3 linked regions of the Alligator mississippiensis genome follow. The protein of the gene in region 1 binds, or shares a complex with, the protein of each later gene. Links are inferred from orthologs where the notes say so. Each region holds a gene or a part of one and is shown on either strand. Other genes may lie near its edges.

Evidence for each region.
Region 2: INTS9 (region 1) and INTS2 share a complex: the UniProt entries of both Homo sapiens proteins name them as parts of the integrator complex. The link is inferred for Alligator mississippiensis from reciprocal best matches to the Homo sapiens genes INTS9 and INTS2.
Region 3: INTS9 (region 1) and INTS12 share a complex: the UniProt entries of both Homo sapiens proteins name them as parts of the integrator complex. The link is inferred for Alligator mississippiensis from reciprocal best matches to the Homo sapiens genes INTS9 and INTS12.

Annotation. Positions count from the first base shown.
Region 1 is NC_081824.1:6,034,840-6,042,392, reverse strand, and holds the start of INTS9 (integrator complex subunit 9), read left to right. Parts: upstream 1-4,510; 5' UTR 4,511-4,565; coding exon 4,566-4,574; intron 4,575-7,553. Other genes in the region: HMBOX1 (homeobox-containing protein 1), read right to left, coding at 4,242-4,282. UniProt on the Homo sapiens protein: Component of the integrator complex, a multiprotein complex that terminates RNA polymerase II (Pol II) transcription in the promoter-proximal region of genes.
Region 2 is NC_081837.1:3,838,528-3,846,562, forward strand, and holds the start of INTS2 (integrator complex subunit 2), read left to right. Parts: upstream 1-5,005; 5' UTR 5,006-5,065; intron 5,066-5,364; 5' UTR 5,365-5,391; coding exon 5,392-5,684; intron 5,685-6,311; coding exon 6,312-6,450; intron 6,451-6,985; coding exon 6,986-7,088; intron 7,089-7,221; coding exon 7,222-7,335; intron 7,336-8,035. Other genes in the region: MED13 (mediator of RNA polymerase II transcription subunit 13), read left to right, coding at 275-407. UniProt on the Homo sapiens protein: Component of the integrator complex, a multiprotein complex that terminates RNA polymerase II (Pol II) transcription in the promoter-proximal region of genes.
Region 3 is NC_081825.1:131,326,561-131,333,719, forward strand, and holds the start of INTS12 (integrator complex subunit 12), read left to right. Parts: upstream 1-4,093; 5' UTR 4,094-4,177; intron 4,178-7,159. UniProt on the Homo sapiens protein: Component of the integrator complex, a multiprotein complex that terminates RNA polymerase II (Pol II) transcription in the promoter-proximal region of genes.

The sequences.
Region 1 (7,553 bases):
GGGTTACTGCACTCGTTTATACAGGGGCAATGAATTACAGTTTCCAGCTCTTGACTGAATACTCCATTACCAAATCAACTTAAGAGGCATATAGTTTAAAAGACCCTCTCCCCCCCCCCCCCACAAAAATCAACCAAAAACCTTGTCAGTAATATGACACTTATGTGAACACACAAGGTAATACCATCAGGACATGTATAAACTAAAGGCCCAATCCCACAAGGAGTTGTAGGTGGTTACCAGAGCCAGCGTGAAGCTGCATTAAAATCAATGTAAAGTGACATTGACTGCACTGACTATAAAAGCATCCCAGCTGGGAGCAGCCCAGACAACAAACAAACTGCATTAAGTTATCTGTAAGACAGGTAAAGTTATCTGTTCTGCTGCAATAAGATTTTTACGCTGACAGCATTTTTTAACCTGATTGACTCCAAATCCTGAAGTTCCCTGAAGGTGAAGAACATGCCCATAAACTGCTCTGATCCTGCATTCAAAACCCTATGAGCGCTGCACAGAAAGGACTACACTCAGGAATCTCTCATGCAACCAGTAGCTGTTAGCATAAAAGGCAATCTTCAAAAATCCCTGTTTATGGAAGGGAGGCATCAGCATGCTTTAAGTTAAACTGTTTCTTGCATCAGAATAATATTCATTCCCCCAGCTCCCACCACACACACTTATCTAGAGTCTTCCCCACTCCCCAGAACTGCACACTGAAGGTCCAGACTGCATAAGGCACACACTGGCTAAAGTGTTAGCAGAACAAGTGCATTTCACTACAGAAACTTGAATTTCTTTAGTCCCAGGGTTTCCTTAGCTCCCGAAACAAAGGCAGAGAACAATTCAAACTCCTCCCTGAACTTACGCATATGCCACTTCATTATCATGACAAAATGAGTGCATCAGGGAACACTTGGGATTTCATTTTCCAAGCACTGCTCAGACATTTGCTGGCCCCACCTCTCTGAAGGAGAGCAGAAGAAATCCTTGCATGACAGACATGGAAACAGGCATAGGGTAAACTTCTCTGAGCAGGAAGGGTCCATGTCCACTCTGCAGAGCATCTAGCACAACGGGAGCTCGTTACCAGGTGGCCATGTAGGCACAAACTATTATAGTTGTGCTTGTACAACGGAATATGCTTTCAAGACTGAAGCAACTTGCCAAAATTAGTGGGAGAAAGAGGAATGTCTCAGCTACCTAGGATTTTCTGAGAATTTCCCACCAATTCTCTGGCAACATTGCAGTTTCATGCCCAGGAAGAATGCCTGGCAGCCCACATGCTACAATGTCGTCTAGACCTGCTCTGAACGGAGGTAGATGACACAGGATTAAAAATGCTGATGGCTGACTGCTAGCAACAGTGCTAACAGAATGGGAGGAAGATTAAGAGAACAGGCACAGCAGAGTTAAACACCACGTCCTTGTTCCTGATCCCATGCTCAGCCCGCTAGACAATTCTGTCTGTACAGAAAGCTGTGCCTGACTCAGGGTTAAAGACGAAGAACTTGTGTGTCAGAAGGGGACACGGCATCCCCAGATGCAAGCATTTCACTTTAGTTTGAGCAGAATTGTCCCACCTCAGAGAACCCAGAGCTCTGAGGACACAGAGACAGCAGATAATTTTCACAACCAGAAATATAAATCTGCCTGAAGCTAAAAAAGTTCAAAATATCAGTACATGTAATGTACTGCTCCCCACCCCACACACCTTCTGCCCTCTCCCCACCCCACACACCTTCTGCCTCCCTACCTTCTCCTTAAGGATTTGGAGCTGAAAGAGCAGAAGGAGAGTCAAGACGCACACAAATAAACAAAGTTTACGGTCTGCTGTTGCAGGACCATACCCCAGCATGATCTTACAGCGACTAAAGAAAAGTCTTCAGAGTTATATATCCACATACACCCACTCCCCTCTCACCAGCATCCCTGTGAGCCTGGCCTAATGTTAGATAAATAAAGAGAAAGGCAGTTCCTACTAATGAGGCAGGGTACGGCAAGGCCAAAGAAAATGCAATCATCTCAGGGGGGAAAAAAAAAACAAAAAAAAAAAAAACTGCACTGGGCTCCTCCTCTCCCATCTATGGAGGAAATCAGATGCCAGCTGCACCATCCGAGGAAGGAAGCAGAGAGAGGCTCTTGCACCTGATGAGCCCTGCAGAAATGAGTTAGCTATATCACAGGACCCAGACAGCCACTCCAGGATTTTGCAAGCCCAAAAGTTGTCTGCTTAGCACAAACCGTTTATATGACAATTTTATTTTCTGGGGTGTCAAACCATGCAAATGTCATCCCTTTCACTGGGTCCTTCTCCACTATCCCCTCTGGCCTCTGGGGCACTCGGCCAGTGCCCATCAGACTCGCTGTTCTCACATCACGACTCTGCCCATCAGTTTAACACTTCCTTCCCCAGGTTAAAACCCACAGCTTTCAGTTGGTATAGATTTTGCACTTCCCTCGATGCCACAAAAAACTCCAGAAGCAACCAAAATATACCCGACTTCAGCGACTTGGAAATATCACCCCCGCACAAGCAAGCTTCCCCCCGCCAAAAAAAGGCATCCTCCCCCTCCCCCATGTGAAGGGGGTTGGGGAAAGCATCACCCACCGCCAAAGGGCCAGAAGCCAGAGAGAAACGGAGCTGCTGCAGAAACTGTTTCCAAAGAAATGCCCTGCAGATGGATTCAGCGACACTTCTAACTGCCACTTCCCACCAATAAACCCACCGGCCAACACAGAGGGGGCAAAAAGCTCTGCCGGGCTCCTGCGTTTCGCAGTTCCTGAAGGAAGACGCGACTCCCAGCCGGTATTATTCTAACTCCGCGGCAAAGCCAAAAAAGCATAGGGCCAGGATAAAAAAAGAAAAAAAAAAAAAAAAAAAGAGCAGCCATGCGGCATTTTCCTCCCTCCCACCGCCCCCAGCAGCAGCAGCCACTCTTCCCTAGGGCAGTTTCAGGGCCCCACACATCCCAGATGTGCAGGGAGAAGAGATTTCCCAAGCCCCAGCCTCTCCCTAAAATACCAAGTCATGAGGATATGAAGGCAAACATCCCCCCACCCTCCGCCCAATGTCTCCTCATGCTCCACATGTGGGGAAGGGATTTCTCCTTCTCCCAGCCCCAGTCTCCCCCTGAAAAACAAAGTCATGAGCGTACGAAGGCAGACGCTGCCCCCCTCACCCCTCTCCAACCTGGACATAGAGAAGGAGGGAGTTTCACCCTCTTCCCAGCCCCAACCTCCCCCTGAAATACGAGGGGACGCTGCCCCCCCGTTTCTCCTCACACCCAGCATCCCGGACGCGCACCAGCCTTGCCCTACACCCCACGTCCCGGGCACGTGAAGTGATTTCACCCCCCGCCACCTCTCCTCACACCCGAAGTCCCGGACACAGGAAGGGATTTCACCCCTCCAGCCTCTCCTCACACCCAGCATCCCGGACACGCGCCAGGAAGGGATTTCACCACCCGCCCCAGCCTCTCCTCACACCCCATGTCCCAGACCCACAAAGGGACTTAACCCCCCCCCCACAAGTCCCAAACCCATGAAGGGATTTAAACCCCCCCCCCCAGTCCCAAACCCATGATGGCATTTAAACGCCCCCCACAAGTCCCAAACCCATGAAGGGATTTAACCCCCCCCCCCCAGTCCCAAACCCATGATGGCATTTAAACGCCCCGCACAAGTCCCAAACCCATGAAGGGATTTAACGCCCCCCCCCCCCAGGCCCAGACCCACGAAGGGATTTAACCCCTGCCCCCCCAATTCCCAGACCCACGAAGGCATTTAACCCCCCCCATCCCAGACCCACAAAGGGATTTAACCCCCCCCTCCCAAGTCCCAAACCCAAGAAGGGATTTAACCCCCACCCCCCCAATCCCAGACCCATGAAGGGATTTGCCCCCCCAACCTTTCCTCACACCCCAAGCCCCAGACACAACCACGTAGGGGCTTCACCCCCCAGCCCCCCCCCCCAAAAAAAAATTTACAAAGTAACAAGGAGACACACACAGACCCCCCCCCGCACACACGCACGCACACACACACACACACACACACATACACACACACGCACGCAGAGTGAAGGGTTGCGACCCCCAACCCCAGACACACGAGGGGATCCCCACCACATACAGTGAAGGGGTGCCACCCCCTCAGCCCCCCCGAAATACGAAGTGAGGAGGATACACAGGCAACCCCTCCCTCCCCCTCACACCCCCTTTCAGGGCTCACCCCAGACGGACCGTCTTTGTCTGCCTGACGAGCGCCATGTTGATATCAACATCCGAGCGCCCACCTGCCGCCGCGCCGCGGCCCTGGGACTTGTAGTTCGCCGCTCCCCAGGGCGGCGGACGGCGGGCGGCCCGCGGACTGCAACTCCCGGCGTGCCCCGCGGCCCGCCAATCAGGGAGCGCGGCCGGCCGACTACAGCTCCCGGCATGCCTCCCGGGCATGACCTCATCCGCCGGCTGAGGAGGCGGGGAGGGACTACAGGTCCCAGCGTGCCCCGCGCGCTGGGAGGGGGAAGAGGCAGGGCAGGAAGGGGCAGGGGGGAAGAGGCCGGCAGCATGAAGCTGGTGAGTGGGGCGGTGCAGGCCGGGGGGGGGCTCTCTTGTCCTTCCCCCTCCTGTGTCCTGGGGAGCCTCAGCCTTGGCCCCTGCTCCCCCTCCCCACCTTGCTGGAGGGCCCCGTCCTGCACATGGGGAAACTGAGGCACAGGAGGGGCCTAGGCTGGGGGTTCATGCCTGTATTAAGGCCCCAAACAGGCTTGTGTGCACCGGGGGGGCGGGGGAGGAGCGTGGCCGTTTTGGGGGAGGGGTATATGGGGGCTGGGGTGGCACTGGGGTGGTTTGGGGGGATGGTGGAGGGGTATTTTGGGGCTCGGGTGGTTTTTTGAGGGAAAGGGGTGTTTGGAGGCTGGGGTGGTTTTGGGGGATGGTGGAAGGGTATCTTGAGGCTGGGGTGGCACTGAAGTAGTTTGTTGGGGTGGCCCTGGGGGCAATTTTGGGGGATAGTAGAGGGGCATCTTGGGGCTGGGGTGGCACTGGGGGCAGTTTTTGGGGGTGGTGGAGGGGTATCTTGGGACCGGTTTGACACTGGGTGAAGTTCTTGGGTGGCAGTGGAGGGGCATTTCATCTGGGGTGGCGCTGGGGGCAGTTTGGGGGGATGATGTAGGGGCATCTTGGGTCTGGGGGGGCAGTTTAGGAGGGAAGTGTTGGAGGTGCATCTTGGGCAGGGAGCTGGGGCTGCGGAGGGCACGGCAGGTTGGTGAGCGTCTCTGCTCAGTGCTGGGAGCAGCTGAGCATCGATTTCCACCTGAGTTTACAGGGCACTAGAGAAACTTATGGGGAGGAAAGCTCTGATATAACACTGTCTAGTCAGATAACCCAGTCCTGATCGCCCTCCTCTTTGTAACCGCTCTTCTTTTGCAGTAGATAACTCTGTTCAGATATGCCCAGGGCTGTCGTAAAGCAGACGGCCATCAACTGTTGTCTTTGTTTACAGGACAAGAAGTAATGGCCTCTGACGTGCAACACAGGAGATATAGGTTAGATGTTAGGAAGAACTTTCTAACTGCGAGGCTGGTTGAGCACTGGAAGAGGTGACCTGAAAAGGCTGCAAAACCTCTGGTGCTGGAAAGTGGGGTTTTTTTGGTTTTTTTTTTAAATGCATGTTAGACAATTTTAGAGGTTGATTCTCAACCTTGTTAGACATGGGGCACCCCTCAGAAAATGCCTGGAGGCTGCAAGTGAGAGGAAGAGTGGGAAAAATCCCTTATCATGCCTTGTTCACTCTCCCTTTCAGCATCTGCTCTCTGCTGCCCCATGACACAAGAGCCTGGGCAATTGGACCTATGATGTCATTCTGTAAATGGCAGTTTTGTTGTTCACACATTTTTAACTATGGAAAAATCATAGAGCGGGTTTTTTGATGCAAAGAACTCAGAAAGATCATAACAGATCTAAATGTGTTTAACCCAAGGATTCCTATTTGAAATTTCTAGGTTCATCAGAGGGTGGTTTTGATTTAAATACAGTTGTTTTAAATCAAGAACCCTCAATTTTAATCATTATTTTCTACAAAAAGTGCATTCTTGATGTTTGATATAACCTTCATTAAAATATTCCCAACCTGGGTCTCTTTTATGGCTTGGCCAGCCTGCTGCCATGATAGGTTTTCCCTTCTACCATATCATTCCCTCGCTAGATCTCAAATTAGTGAAGAAGCTATACTCAGAAACTTATTCCTCAAGACTTTTGGAATATTCTGCTAAAAATGTTTCTTTTGTTTCTATTGCCATCCCGTCCTTGCATTATGTCTAGACTCTTCCTCCTTGCCCAGATCTACTCCACCCCCAACAATCCTTTATTCATTTAACTTTTTGAAACTTTGCACTTTTAGAGTGGGGCAAAAGCTTGACTCTGCATACACAAACTTGCCGAGACAAGAGGGCTGATCCGTAGGTAATTGGGTCGGTTCTCTCTCATCTCTGTGTACTGCTGTTAACAGGGGTGTTACCTCTGGAGAGACAAATCCACAGTCTGAGAACTGAAACTAAACATCACAGAGATGCTTAATGGGATTTTCTAGACTGAGCACTGAGTTCCACTGGGTAGAATAGTTTTCTTTAATCCTTACTAATCATTGGAGAATCCTTTGGGAACCCCATAAGATTGGACCCTAATATAGTCTATGGCCTGTTTTGACCTATTTATAAAGCTTCTCTAAAAAGGTTACATGAATATATTGTTTCAAATAGTATATAATTAGAAGTTATAATCCCTATTCCATGATGATATCTTTGAGCTCTAACATATCTTAAGTTTAAACTATTTTTATGTAGGTTTATTTTTTAAAAATCGTAAGAAAAAAATCGATATGATTCAATCAGAAAAATCTGATTTAAATAAAAAAATTCAACTTTTAATTAAAAAAAATCATTGATTTTTGTCCACCCTGGTTCATCATGTGAATCATGTTTGTACACCTAACAGTGCTAGTGTTGTGTGCCCCCCCGATAGGATTTCAAGGCACCCCTTGAAATCACCCCTTGGGTCACTGGTTTAGAGGATCCTGCTTTGAGCAGAGGATTCATTTAGAAGACCTCTTAAGGTGCCTTCCATTTCAATTATTTTAGTTATCATTCTTTGTAGCCACTTTACCAAGTTTTCCTCCCTCCGGCTCGGACTGTCATGTCCCAGCGTACAGGGACAATCTGTAGCTTTTCTTTTCCTCAGGCAAAGAAAGGTTGGGCTGACTTCCACAGGTGTTGAGTACCTTTGTCTGAGGAAGGTGTAGATGGCATAGGTTGGCACTCAGTACAGTAAAATCTCTGCTATCTGACATTTAACTAGCCAGAATACTCTGTTAACTGGAATTTCTGGCCGGCCGGACGCAGGGGAAAGCTCGCACACGGCAGCTGCCACGGCCGCTCCGCGTGGGCTGCCCTGCACTGCCATTGCTCTGCTGTGCCGAGCTTTGCTCCGCGCTGAACCCTGCTGCTGTTGCTGCTCCACATGTAACTGCTGCCACCTCCCCACTCCACATCTGGCTGC
Region 2 (8,035 bases), on another chromosome or scaffold:
TAGCACAGTTGTGTGCCACTTAAACAGAAAGCAGGTGGGGTATTGGCTTTGATGACCTGCTTCGGAGAACAGTGACTCGGAGGCTAGCCGTTTATGAGCTGACTAGCCTGACTTCGGTGCATGCGTGTGTGTTGGGGTTTTTGTTCAAGTGTTTAGCTTACGGCAAACCTGCAATGTCATGAGATGCGTCTTACTTGTTTGTGAAACATTTTTTTCTGAAAGTGGTAGTGGAAAGAGCTGTATAGGTTTCATGGGAGTTTTGTTTGCTTTCTAGGTTTGTTTTGGAACAGTACAATGCACTCTCCTGGCTAACCTGTGATCCTGCAACCCAGGACAGACGGTCGTGTCTCCCAGTTCATTTTGTGGTGCTGAATCAATTGTATAACTTTATCATGAATATGCTGTGATCTTCATCTGAACTTTGCAAGAAAAGAACAAGGAAAAGGGATATTTCATTGCAGGACTAAGTTACACTTCTTCTCAGTGCAAGTCATTTGTGATGGGGTATAATTCTTGTTACTTCCAACAAATATTGTTTTGACTTGTGATGGGGCACATATAACCCTGCTGTCTTTGTTTCATTGACTATACAGGACTCTTTAGAATGATGATCAGACAAAATGTATTATAACATTTTTAGTAGCAAAATTAACCATTTTCCCCAGTCACAGTATTTGTGAAAAGTAATGAGCCATAGTACCCAGTCATGTTTAATGAATATTAAAAGCATGGAGATGAGAAGAGACATGAGGAACCATAAGTTTCTACCTATGGCTTCAGAACATCAAGATGTTCTTGTATTGGATTATAGTACCTAGTATTCGAAAATGCCTGCATCTCTCTTATTTATTGTAAGTTTTTAAATGTATAAATTGTCTTATATTTCTTAACCTCTTTTATAAAAATTTTCCTAGAAGGTTTATACTGCCTTCTTGCTTTAAAGCAATTGGTCTAAAATATATGTAATCGTCTTAATTAAAAGTTGCAGTAGGTTGCTTTTAGAGTATTATTTTTTTGTAAGGGGGTGGGTGGGGACAGTAAATTTGTATTGTCTTGATGTACAGTTTAATGGGGATAGAGGGGTTAATGTCCATACCATTGTGTGTGGGGGATTTACAGCTAAGCTGTAGTTGCAGAGTACATGTACAGTAATGAAGTTCACTGTGTTTATATAAATTGAAAAGGTACCGGGTCTTGCAGCATTTTATATCACACCTTTACAGAGTAACAATGGCAATATATAAGTGATATTGTAGGTGGTTTAACTTGTAGTGAGAATAAAATGAATAAACTCTCAATTTAATTTTGTGTTATGGCTCAGAACTTTGGCTAGCTTCAGGCTCCAGTTGCTGGGTTTATTTAGTCCAAGAATACCTGCTACGCAGTGTGTAGCTAACCAGGAGTTCTTGGCATTGCGTTCTTGCATTCTTTAAGATACATATTTCATCGCAAAGATGAAACCGAACATCCAGGCATGGGAAAAAACATGAGGAAATTACCCCCAAGTCTCCTGTAAGGCTGAAACTTAGCTCAGCTCTAGCCATTTCACAAATGCAAAAACAGTCAATCTTGACTTTAAGATTGGTGTGTGTTTAACTAAAATGTGGTGTATATAGATTCTCAGTGAATTCTGGTATTCAGACTGAACTCCACTAGTAAAAAAAAAAAAAAAAAATCCATTTTCCTTTTTAATCTATTTTTGGCACTGTGGTGAAGGTCCCAGGTAATCAGTGTATGAGTTTTTTCCGCCTCTGATTCCAGCCAGGGCATGTGCCAAGGAGGCTCAAAACTCCCTGAGGAAGGGACTCTGGAGGCCTTCATATACCTCTTCTCCCTCTACAATCAGCAGCTTTCTTCACTTAACACTTCTTTCCTTTTACTCGCGCATGCCAAATCTGTAATGCTTCTCTAAAACGGCCCCTACGGGTGCCCACGAGCAATTCCTTTCTCATGGTTCCTTGTCCTCCGACTGCCAGCTTAAGAATTTACTTCTGCAGCGTCCTTCTCAGCTGCATGTGGGAACCCATGATAACCGAGCACCCGGGTCTCACTGGACAAACCGAGCCATCCGTTTTGCCAGTTAAGCCTTTTAAAGGAGCAAGACTTAAGATCCCTTTGTGCACCCACTGCTAAATCCTCTACAAGGACAAAGTCGTTTGTATTTACAAAACTGGATTTGGTAGCTTGTACTGAAAATCATGTTTTGTGAATACAAAATATTTGCCTGAAATATCACTTTTCATATGAACAAACATCAAACCTCTTTGAATTGTGTATATACAATACTAGCGACCTTTGTGTTTTTGTATGAAGAAAATGTACAATTGGTGACAAAGGTTTTCAGTCATTTCTTCAAAACAACATTAGTGCAATCAGAAGTCAGCATATTTTGATATTAAAGTAAAAAAACTGGGTGTCTGCATTATTATTATTTTTTTTATTATGCTAATGCATCACAGATTGAGTAGCATGTTACTTTGTTTGAGAGCATTTTTTCACGTGGCTGAGATCTGAGGGGGGAAAATGCTCTTTAGCCTGGAATCTTCAAAGCTTCCTTCCTTTTTTTTTTAGCTGGTTACTTTTAAACCTGTCTTAATGTTAATGAACCTCTTTAGCGTGGAACTTGTTAGCAGTGGGCTGTTTAAAATGTGGCTGACTTGTATTCATCAGGTAAGTGAGCCAGTTGCCTGAACAGCGAGGTCCCGATCAATGTGCAGTCATGCTAACCTTCTGTGAAATATACCACTAGTATTTTTCAAATACAGTAAAAACAGAAATTAAAATACTGTAACCACTAGAAGAGATCAGGAGGCCCTTTTGATTAGTCTTTTTAGAAACCATTTATGCTGGGAGATTTTTCCTGGCTTGGCATCTTTTTGCCAACAGCGTACATATCAAAACTGCCAGCACTGAGGAGCAAGGTACTTGTTTTACTTCTAAATAAATGACTTTCACCTTACGAATCAATTTGCCTAATGATATCAATCCCACTGTTTAAAGTGCATATAATTACTGATGTAATAATAATACTGTGACAGCCAGCTAACAAGATAATTTATACTGATCACTGACAGGTTCAGCTGCAACGTCTGTGCTTACCATTGCTCCTGACAGCTCTTATTAAGTAGTAGGTGTGGAACTTTTATTAAATGTATTGGCTACACATGGGATTCTTCCAGCCAGTCAAAAAGGAAAAAAAAATCTAGCCATACTCTATTTATGCAAGCCATTCAGTTATCTGGGCTGGGCTGTAACAGTGTATGGATTAGACTCCTTGTACACACTATGGTTTGGCCCCAGTGTACTTGCGTATGGCCCTTGCATTTTAAAGTAAACGTCATTTTTAAAACTTTCTAACCCTTTCAGAATAAAATTAAAATTTTAAATCCTCAGCTATATTCTTACTCAGCTGTCAGTATGGCACAGATTATGATGCTCTCCTTTCATCTTCACATCTACCTTCCATGATTTATTTTTTTTAAACCATGTGTTGCTGCAAAGATTTGCAGATGTCTTTAATTGAGCACTATTAATACTGTAATATCAAAATATTATGTTGCATTATTTAAAAATTCAAAATGTAATGGAGGAAAAGGTTTTAAAAAATGCTATTGCACCATATAGTTCGCTGCACAACAGTCTATGGCATAGCATATCAGTCGGTTTTAATATTATCCATGTAATGTTTTGATCTGGGTTTCTTCTGAGAATCCAGTTTCTCAGCTGAGAGTTTTGTCTCGCAGTATCTCTTAAACACAAAAGTGGACAGTGAGTGTCTGTGTCTCTCTCTCTTTCTCTCTCGTACTAATTGAAAGACCCAGAACTACACTTAACTGTTTAGAAAACCTTATTTGGGGGTGTACTCTTTATTTTCAATGGAGTAAAACTTCATTTACAGTAAAACTGGATTTGGGACCTACAACAATCCTCAGGGTCACTTTTTCAGAAGTTTTAATATAGCTTTAGGGGTTGGTTTTGTTTTTTTTTTTCCAAATAAACTGGATTTGCGGACCTTGTAAACCTATTTAAACTGCAAATTGTGGCATCATTACTGGACATGTCAGCTTCAAGAAAGCGTCTCCCACCAGCTGGGTCACTTTAAGAAGGGGAGCGTCTAAGTTCTCGCTCAGCCGCGACATGAAATGGTCCAAGTCGTCTTATTTAACGTGACAGGAAAATGAAATAAGGAACAAAAACAAACAAACAAAAACACTATTGCTGCCGAATGCCATAAACACTGAGTTGTACAAATTGTGATTGAGGAAATGAAAAGGTTTATACTTTTTAAAAAAAAAAAATTCAAATGGAATAAATTATTCATGAAGCCTTGATTGGTGGTGTCTCTTTATTTCCAACCCCCACGGGGACCGTGGACGAGCGAGGCGAGCCCGTCCGCCTCGCCTCGCCGCGCCGCGGTGGGAAGTCAGTGGCTCTCCACCCCCCGCACGTTTTTTCCCCTCGTGCTGTGGACCACGACGGAGAGGAGGGCCGGGCCTGATGTGTGAAGCAGGAGCGGCTCTCCTCCAGCCCCCAAATACTGGGTTCTTGACGAGGACCGAGCCGAGGCCGGGCTGCCGGGCAAATTCAGTTTCTCTTGGTGTTTGCCCCTTGATTTTATAGAAATTCAGTTTCTTTTGGTTGGTTTGTTTTTGGGGGGGCTTTGCCCCTTGATTTCGAAGCACTGCAGCTGCTCTGTTTGTTTGTGTTGTGTTGTTTTTGACCCTTGACTTTGAAGTGAGCCAAGCTGCGGCCTGTCCTGACGAGCTTCCCCTGTCACGCAGCAGCAGCTGCCCCACCTTCCCCCGCGGGACTCGGTTCCCTTCTCTTCCCCATCTTCATTTCGAAGGCGGAGCCGAGGGCCCGGCCCGGCACCATCCTGCGGGGAGGGGACACTGGAGCCGGCACTGCCCAGACTTCCGCCCCGCCCCTGGGCCTGAAGCAGAGCGCCTGGCCTGGCGCCGGCTTCCGCCCCGCTTCCGCTACGGGTCGTCATTTCCTGTGCGCCCGCGGAGCGGTGCGCCGGTCCTGGCCGGAAGTGGGCGGGGCGGCCCCGGGCTGAGGGGAGGTGGGTTGCGGGCGCGGTGTCGGTGGCGGGGCCCTCATCCAAGGGGTGGGGTGCACCCCGGGTGGCGGGGCTGGGGCCCGGCAAGGAAGCGACCCCCCACCCCCAAGGGAGGCCGCTCAAGGCCCCGCAGCTGGTGTTGGGGGATGCGGCCGTGCCCCGTGTCCCTCGTGCAGGAGTGAGGGGAATACCACCTCTTCCAGCCCCCGCTTGGCCAGAGCCGGGAGGGAGGTCCCGGGACGCGGAGGAGCGGAGCCCCTTCCCCACCGTTGTCTCACCTGTCTCTTGGCGCTCGCGCGCAGGGCGGCGGTGGTGGCAGCGCCGGCGCCATGGCGGAGTGCTCCAGCCTGCAGTTCGTCAGCCCCTACGCGTTCGAAGCAATGCAGAAGGTGGACGTGGTGCGCCTGGCGGCGCTGAGCGACCCCGAGCTCCGGCTCTTGCTGCCTTGCCTGGTGCGCATGGCCTTGTGCGCGCCCGCTGACCAGAGCCAGAGCTGGGCGCAGGACAAAAAGCTCATCCTGCGGCTCCTTTCCGGCGTGGAGGCCGTCAACTCCATCGTCGCCTTGCTGTCCGTGGATTTCCACGCGCTGGAGCAGGACGCGAACAAGGAGCAGCAGCTTCGGTAACCGAGAGGATACGCGCGGTCTGCACGCTCGTGTCTTGCGAGGGCTTCGTTTGACTGTTGCCCGCGTCCCGTTCTTGTCCTGACGCGGCTTTGCCTTACTGTTGCAGCTCGTTACTTGTTCCTCGGGCTCGGTAGGATGACGTTGGAGGAAGGAGGGTGGGATTTGTTTACGTATTTATTTAGCTTCGAGCGTCATACCCAGCACCTGGCCAAGGGACAGTGATGCGCATTAAATGAAGACCCATCTCTCTGGACCAGGGCAAAGAGAAGACTATGAGGCTTCCAGTAGGTTAAGAAATAGAGGCTTCCTCAAGCCCTGTCTTCTGAGGTGAAAACAGAGAGCCAGGGTTGTACGAGTATGCTTGCTTGACTGTGGTTTGTGTGCAGATCGCAAGACACACCTGTGTTTTGACAGCGGGTTAACTTTGCCATTCAGGTGGGTTTGGTGTTTGAAACTCGATGGTGCCAAAGTCCCGGTGCTGCTCTCTGGCTAGCTGGACCCCCAGCAAAGAATATTTGTCGAATGAGCGAGTGCGAATGCATTGTCTGTTTGTTTTCACCAAAAGGCACCTGGTTTCTGTGGCTTTTTTGAACAGCTGTTTTCACATTTCAATGATCTATTAGGCTCAAACTCGGAGGAGGTAGCGGAGAAAGCATCTTGGTTTCGCAGCTTCAGCACGGTCTGACGTTGGAGTTCGAGCACAGCGATTCCCCGCGCCGGCTTCGGCTTGTGCTTAGCGAGCTGTTAGCGATTATGAACAAGGTGAATTTCTGTTTCATTCCTTACCACGTGCGTGGATTGATGTTGGTGGACGTGGAAAAAAAATCAAGCATGGGTGCACATGGCTTCAGGCCTGCGCTTTATGCTTGGGGCAATGGAGATCCTTTTTGTTCGGTCACATTTTGTTTTATTTAAGGCAGGGGCATGGAGGTGTTTTTAGTTACTAGCATCTACATAGCCGGGGTTTCCAAACTAACAACAAAAGCTTAAATTGGTATCCCACGTTTTGGGAACAAATACACCTCGATTGGTTTCTCCAGTTTCTCTCATGACAATTCGGAGCTACGTTCACCTGGCCTAGGTGCCTGCTTAAATATTTTTTAGCAATTCTCTGGTTTTTAGGCAACTTTATTACAAACAATCATAATAAACTGGGCATGTTGCAAGTGTGCTGGGTCCGTTTTCACATAGTTAATCCTTTGCGTTCAAATCCACGGGAATTTGATGTGAAGTAACTGAGTTATACTGTTTACTCACTTTATTACACTTGTATTATGATGATAACCTCCTATTCCAGGTGTCGGAGTCAAATGGTGAATTTTTCCTCAAGTCTTCGGAGCTCTTCGAGAGCCCGGTCTACTTGGAGGAGGCAGCAGACGTTCTGTGTATTTTGCAAGCAGGTGTGCAGTCCTTTACTTACGGACCTCTCCGTACCATCACTTTTAAATGGTCAGCATGTGACTGACACAGTTTTAATTTCAGAGCTTGTTTTAGACTGAAAACAATGGCTTTTAAAATCCTGTTTCCATTCAGAGCTGCCTTCACTGTTGCCCATAGTCGATGTGGCAGAAGCCCTACTTCATGTTAAAAATGGAGCCTGGTTCCTGTGCCTCCTTGTGGCCAATGTTCCTGATAGCTTTAATGAAGGTAAGTTGTCGTTTCTTGTTTGGCATTTTTCCTTCCTGGAATTTATAACCCCTTCAGCAAAAATTAATTGCAGCCCAAAATGTAGCATAAAACAGTACTAGTCTTGAGGCACTTGCCTGCACATGATTCAGCCCTAAGGGGCTTCCTGCTTCTGCCACTCACCTCCCTTCACAGCACCTTCTCCTGTGGCTGACTCCCTGTGCTGTTATCTCAATATGAGTCTTACCCAGGTCAGTAGTGACAAAGGATGGTAATGCTGTGGAGTTGCGGCCTGTTTCTGCACTAGCATCCCCCTTGCCAAGCTGTTATTACTTTGTACCTACTGCAGAGGTGAGGGAATGAACGGTCCTGGAGACAGAGCTGCTCTTGCAATCATAGTTGTTGCTTCAGGTCAGTCTGCAGGGTGGGAGTAGAGGAAGAGCTTGCAGTGCTCTTATCCAAGCTGTATCTCAACTTGGACCGAGGACTTCACTGTCCAGGGCCGTCCCATGCAGCACCTGACTTAACAAGGGGCATGAGTAGCTGAAGGCAGTTTGGATCAGGCTTTAGTCTGTATCATCACTGTAAGTTCTGTGGGACAGGCACTGTCTCTGTTCGGTTTGTATAGTGTCCTAGCATAAAATGGCCCGGGTCCAGGAGCAGGGCTCTTCAGCCTGGTGGTAACACAAGTAACAAAACCAATGTTGAACTGAATGGCCCA
Region 3 (7,159 bases), on another chromosome or scaffold:
AGGAAGGAAGACCCAGGAAATTATAGGCCTGTTAGTCTTACCTTGGTCCTGGGGAAGCTCTTTGAGAAAATTATCCAGGTGCACATCTGCAAGGGACAAGCAGGGGAGTGTATGTTTAGGGGCAACCAGCATGGGTTCATTAGAGGCAGGTCCTGTCAGACCGACCTGGTGGCCTTCCATGACCAGGTCACAAAATCCTTGGATGCAGGTGTCACGGTGGACATAGTCTTTCTGGACTTTAGGAAGGCATTCCACACTGTCTCTCACCCCATTCTTGTTAAAAAATTAGGAGATTGTGGTGTCAATGCCTACACAGTCAGATGGGTCGCCAATTTGCTGGAGGGCTGCACCCAGAGAGTGGTGGTGGATGGGTCATTTTTGACCTGGAGGGATGTCGGCAGTGGGGTCCCCCAGGGCTCGGTCCTCGGGTCTGTACTGTTCAACATCTTCATCAGAGACTTGGACGAGGGGGTGAAAAGCACCTTGTTCAAATTCACAGATGACACTAAGATGTGGGGAGAAGTGGGAACGCTAGAAGGGAAGAATAGGCTGCAATTGGATCTGGACAGGTTACAGGAGTGGGTGGATGAGAATAAGATGGGATTCAATACTGACAAGTGCAGGGTGCTGCGCCTAGAGAGAAAGAACCAGCAGCATACCTAGAGGCTGGAGAACTCCCTTCTCGTCACCACAGAGGCAGAAAAGGATCTTGGAGTCATTATAGACTCCAAGATGAACATGGGCCGCCAATGTGGGGACGCAGTCAGGAAGGCTAATCACACCTTGCATCCACAGATGCATCATGAGCAGGTCCAAGGAGGTGATCCTCCCCCTCTATATGACATTGGTCAGGCTGTAGTTGTAGTACTGCGCCTAGTTCTGGGCACCGCACTTCAGGAGGGATGTGGACAACATCAAGAGGGTCCAGAGGAGGGCCACTTGCATGATCAGGGGGCAGCAAGGCAGGCCCTACAAGGAGAGGCTACGAGACCTGAACCTGTTCAGCCTCCACAAGAGAAGGCTGAGAGGGCATCTGGTGGCTGTCTATGAACTGGCCAAGGGAGACCGGCAGGCAATGGGAGAGTCCCTGTTCCCCCGAGCACTACTGAGAGTAACAAGGAATAATGGCCATAAGTTGACAGAGAGTAGATTCAGGCTAGATATCAGGAGGCACTACTTCACAGTCAGGGCGGCTAGGATCTGGAACCAACTTCCAAGGGAAGTGGTGCTCACTTCTATCCTGGGGGTCTTCAAAAGGAGGCTGGATAGACACCTTGCCGGGGTTGTCTGACCCCAGCATTCTTTCATGCCCATGGCAGGGGGTCAGACTTGATAATCTGCTTAGGTCCCTTCCGACCCTACCAACTATGAAACTATGACATCGTGTCCTTACTAATCTCACCAAACCACATCTTGACTTTACAGAGCGTGCAGGTAGAAGGAAATGAGAGTCCAGCTGACAGGGTTTACGGCTTTACTGGCTCCCCTGGTATGTCACATTCTCAGCTATGACATCTCCCAGGTAAGGCCTCTGGGTTCTTCTTCCCCAGACTAGTCCCTGCCCTTTGATGCATCTAGCCTAGCCTCTAGAGCCCTAATGGAACCTCTAGCCTCTATTTTGGGCCTGTGAGGCCTCCTCCTGTTTTCCTAACGCTTATCCTAGTCAGTTTTCCTGGGTTTCCATTCTTCCTGGTCCAGCCAGAGCCTTCTGCTTCCCCTGCTGCTAAGCCCTTCCTTTATACTGCTCTTAAAGATGTGGCCTCCACCCTGGTTCCTCTTTAGAGGGCCCTTTCCCTTCTTCCCTATAATGGGGACTGAAGCGGAAGAGACCAGTGGCAACAGTTCTAGATGCTGCCTTTGTAGAGTGGGGCATAAAATAGCCACAACCGCAGCAAGAGCTGCCATGATCATCACCACAACAGCCAATGGTGCCCTGGGCATGGAGTTGCCCTGCTACACTCCTGCTGTCCCATTATACAAACCATCGTGCTTTCCACTCTGCTTGTAGCTTATATTTTGTAGCTTATATTTTCCCACTTCCCTATCAAATTACTTCTCTTGTCCATTCAAACTGCAGACTCCTTGGGGCAGGACAGACATTTACTTATTTCAGCTGGAGCCTCAAGCTGCTTCTGTAATACAATAATGAGCAACATCATCTGCTATACTGAATAGGTTAAAGACCAGATCTCAGAAACAAATTTACCCATGGTATGAATGCCACTTTTGTTAACTAAAACTCAAAAAACAAAAATAACTTCACAGTTATCGTGTTTGTTTGCTTTTCAGTATTTCCCAGGACATGGAGTAAATGCCAATTAAATCACCTTCACTGCACAGCAGTGTTTGGGTTGTGGGACAGACCTATGCATCTTTGTTCAAAGAACAGATGTTTCCCAAGAAAGTTAATTTTTTTTTAAAAGATGGAAACATTTTGGTCCTAATTTCTGAATAAGGCTTTGATCATAGATGGACTTTGTGTTGGGCAGAGTCTTGGGCATCTTTGATAACAATATTTCTTTCAATTTAACATGTGCCAGGACAATTAGGTTTTTAAAAAATGGAACGTCTGCTCCAACAAATAGGCAGAGCAGTACAAAACAGTACCCGTGCGTTTAGGACATGCAGCTCAAGTGACCTAAGCTATATTTCCACCAATTTACTGTGCGACAACAAACTAAATGCTTAACTTCTGTGCCTCAGCTTCCCCATTAACAGAGAAAAATTAGTCAGAAGGTTCTATATAACTTCATATGAAGTTCTTTTGAGAGATTCAGATGAAGAATGCCAGAAACTGAATTAAAAACCAGGCTTTGGTGCCCAAACTATTTGAATGGACCCCTTTCAACCAACCCTGACAGTTCGCAAAGGGCAGCAGAAGAACGGGGTGAGGGTCTAGCGGAAAGGGCTACCAGGCTTGAGACATTGCTTATTCTGCAGAGAGCAGCGTTGCCAGGTCTTAAACATGAAATTATCCTGTCGGAAGCTCAAAATTATTGCATTTGCTGAAAAACTATTGTACACTGAAAAAATATGCAAATAAGTATGCAAATGTTTATTTACTTTATACTGCTTCCTGTAACTTGCCAGGGAGTGAGTGAGAACAGAGTCAAAGTTGAAACATCTCCTTGTTTTGAAGCAAGCAGTCATAAGAATGGGTTGACCAAAAATCATTTCTCAGCCTTTTGAATCAAATCAAGTATGATGGGGGCATCCAAACCCCAAGACCTCTGAGCTTGCTTGGACCTACACGTAGGATACCTGCCAATGGGTTTGGGAGCATCTTAAGTCCCAGAGTAATTGGTCTGGGAAGGAGGATGTTCACCAGTTGTAGCACCATACACAGCATTCAGAATGATTGAGTCCTGCCTGGTCCATCGATAAGGCTTTTGGACCGATTGAGCTCTGCTCAACCAATATGATTCGGAACTGATTTGGGTGCTTTGACCTAGAACATGAAATATATTGAATTAAAAAAAGCAAAACAAAATAAAGTCAGTTAAGGCTCCCTGAAAGTGACCTGGGTTTTGCATCCGCTGCGCCAAAGACCTGCCTCAAAAATTGCGCTATGCTTTGAGCACTTCTCCTATTATTATCCTACGAGGGTTGACGTTATGGTACAATTCGGATGGCTCTCGTACACCCGGCCACCCTGGCAGAGAGAAACAGGCCGGGGGGACAAGGGAAGGCGGCAAAATGACGGTGGGCAGGCGCGGCGCAGCCCGAGGCGCCAGGAGCCCGAGGGGTGCACCCGGGGCCGCGGAGACCCCACCGCCAGCCCCGCCCGGGGCCCAAACCAGCACTGCCCACCCCCCGCCCGGCGCGCCCGGATTGGCCCCGCAACGCACACGCGTCACAGGCCCCCCATTGTGATGCAGCCCCTTTCCCCAGGGGGGAGCTGGTGCCCCTTCCCAGCCCAGTCAAGAGCTGGGGGCTCCAACCTAGGTCAGCACCCCCCCGGAAGCATGTGACTCCCCCACCTCGGAACCACGTGACCGCCGGCCCCGCTCCCCGCAGCCGCTCACCCGTGGCGCAGCTCCGGCCCCCGCGCGGCGCTGACGTCACAGCGGCCCCGCCCCTTCCTGCGGCGCGCGCTGCCGGGCGGAACCCGCGGGCGCAGCGCGCGGCGCCGGGGGGACCGCGAGCTGGACGGACTGGCCGGCCGGCGCGGCCAGGGGTAAGCGATCTGGGCTGCAAATAGCACGTGTGCAGGGCCGATTTGGGATCCCTCCCCACCCCCCTCCTCCTAGCAAGCCGATGCAGTGCTTGCAGCACCTGCTGTAGCCGGCCCGAGGCAGGTGTCGCATGCAGCACGGGTCCTAGAGCGGAGCAGTGCAGTGCAGTCCCGCACCAGCCACAGTGGCACCGGCACCGGCTGCGGGGCAGGGGCCTGTGGGTCCCGCCACCTGCCAGATCCAGGACCTGTGCTGCACGCGGGGGCTGGATCTGACACGCCTGGCTGGGGGGGAGGGGCAGTCCCTGGACCCGATCCAGCCTGTGGACCAGTCCCGTGTCACTCATCTGGTGCACGGGGCCAGCTCACTTTGTCACCCCTGCCTTACAGTAAGCATTAGCCAGGGATTCATTTCTGTTTGCTTTTCTGGGCAGTGAACCAGATAGGGCTTTTCCATCTCTAATGGTTCAGGTTCTTGAGCCTCACCTGAATTACCAGACCCCTTTTCACCTGTTCGTTTTTCCTTTGAAGATGCATTTTGGGCAGTCAAACCTGAGCTAAATGCAAGCATGTTACTGGGTTAACAGTATGTTAGGGTCAAGCTGAAAGATATGGCTCTGTGAAGAGCTGCTCTTTATTTGCGGTAGTGCTGGGTACGTGAGTGACTGGCACCTCCTGAATTTGGGGGGGTGCCTGCATAAGCCACCACGGTGGCAGCCCTGTCGGGGGGCACCAACCTTACCAACAGCATCAGTGTCTGCTGTCAGGGGGGGCTCGTGCTCCTCTGTGCACCCTCTACCTGTGGCTATGTCGCCTATGGCTGGGTATATGTAAGTTTAGTCTAAGAAGAGAAGTATAAGTCTATAAGGGGGGGGCACATTAGGATCCGGGAGAACTGTTGTTCACCAGGGCCCCCCAAGGGATAACTAGGTATAATGGCCACAAACTCCTGGAAGGCCGATTTAGACTGGACATAAAAAAAAAAAAAACTTTACAGTCCGTGTGCCCAGGGTCTGGAACAGACTCCCCCCAGAGCTGGTTGGTGCAAGCACCTACTGTGGACTCATTCAAAAGGCGCCTGGATGCTTATCTTGCTGGAATCATTTGATCCCTGCAGACTTCCTGCCTCTGGCAGGGGGGCTGGACTCAATGATTTCATGAAATCCCTTCCAGCCCCTAATGTCTATGAAATCTATGAAGAGAGGACACAAACCAAGCAATAAGTAGCCCAGAGACAGACAAACAGCAGGTAGGAGGAAATGAACCAACAGATTCACAATACATGTGCACAGTGCACACACATGTACCTGTACCTGTCTGCGTGCATATATATGTGTATGTGCACTTGTATGTATATCTGCACGTGTGTGTATATAGGGCAGGTCAGTTGTTCCCAAGTTACAAGACAGTCTTTAAATTAAAGTTAATGTGCTGGAAGACTTTCATCACTTTTAACCTTTTTACTTTATTTCAAGCAACAGCTTATCTATTAAGTGAGGAAAGGGTGGGGAGAGTAAAGAAAGACTGTAACCAGTTAAACCAGAATTCTCCAAATGCTGGCTGGATCTAGCACCCAGTCCAGGCAGGGCCTTCCCAAATAAAAGATCTGAGGTGGCTCTCTGTCTACTAACTCTTTTGCTAATTAGCCCAGTGCATTGCCAGGCAAACGTGACTGCCCTCAGTCTCTGTAACTCTGCAACATGCCTTGGAAGTACAGGGGAGGGAGGCTGTGGAGTTATACAAGGGGTTGGAGGAAGTGGACTCTGGGGCTGTAGTGCCAGGCCTGGGGTGGGAATAATTGGTGGGCTGTGTATCTCTGCAAGATACTCTGAGAAAAGCAGGCTATTGGACTGCATGTGGTGCTGGAGCATAAGTGGTCTGTGGGATTGCATATTAGAGGTCTGTGGAGAATCATGGAGTGTTCAGGCTAGTGAACAGATGTTAGACATGGAGGAACAATGGATGTTGGGACTATGGGACCATTCTAGGAGTGCATCGATAAAAAATTTGGGGGCCTTTACAGATGGCCAATTATTAACCAGTTATATCGGTTGATACCGATCTGATTGCCAATATGCAGCCTGGCAGTTTGGAGAGCAGCATCCAGCCAGTAAGTCTGTTGTGGGGAAGGAGCGTAGGGGAGGCAGATTGAGGCCCCTGCAGTGAGGCAGGGGCTGGGGTAGGCGCTGCACAGCCGGGACGGAGTTGCAGCTGGTCCAGGGGAGGGGGAAGCAGCTCCTGCCTCTGCACGCACCCCTGGGGCAAGCGTGGGGGGCACATGCCCCCCCTGGATCTGTGTGTGGGGTAAGGGTGGGCTGCGCACTTAGGGCCAGGGCTGTGCCAACCTCTTCCTGGCAGGGGCTGGGACAGGGCAGACGACGGCACTGGGAGGGGTGGCTATGGCAAATTTTGGGGTAGCTATAGTCCCCCCATAATCCCCCCCCCCCCGGCACCACTGCCACCCGCCCCAGCAGGAGCGCCCCCCCCCCCATACCCCTTGGATGAGCCACAGCTCTGTCCCACACTCCACCCCATCCTGGCTGGGCAGCAACTGCCCCAGCCCCACTCCCTCCGTCACCGCGGGGGCCTCAGTCTGCCCCTCACCACCATGCCCCTTCCTCCCCACAGATTTATTGACCAGATGCTGCTTTCCAAGCTTCTGGGCTGCACTCCTGGCCATATGCATTCTACAGCTGCTCACATGCATGTGACACTTATCAGCGACATTATCAGGCACATTAGCCAAAAAAAGCCAATTGCCAATAATGTCAATTTTCCTTTTATCAGTGCCGATACAATATGGACCAATGCATCAATGCATCTCTAGACAGTTCATATGTAGCATCCTTTGTGTGTGGAGGCAGTGGCTAAGGCTAGAAGATATGGGGCAGTTTAGGAGAAGAGCACTACTACCTACTGATAAAAAAGATGAACTCCTGGTACAGGGCAGAGCCCCATGGCTTCTGCATTGGATCATGGTGTCAC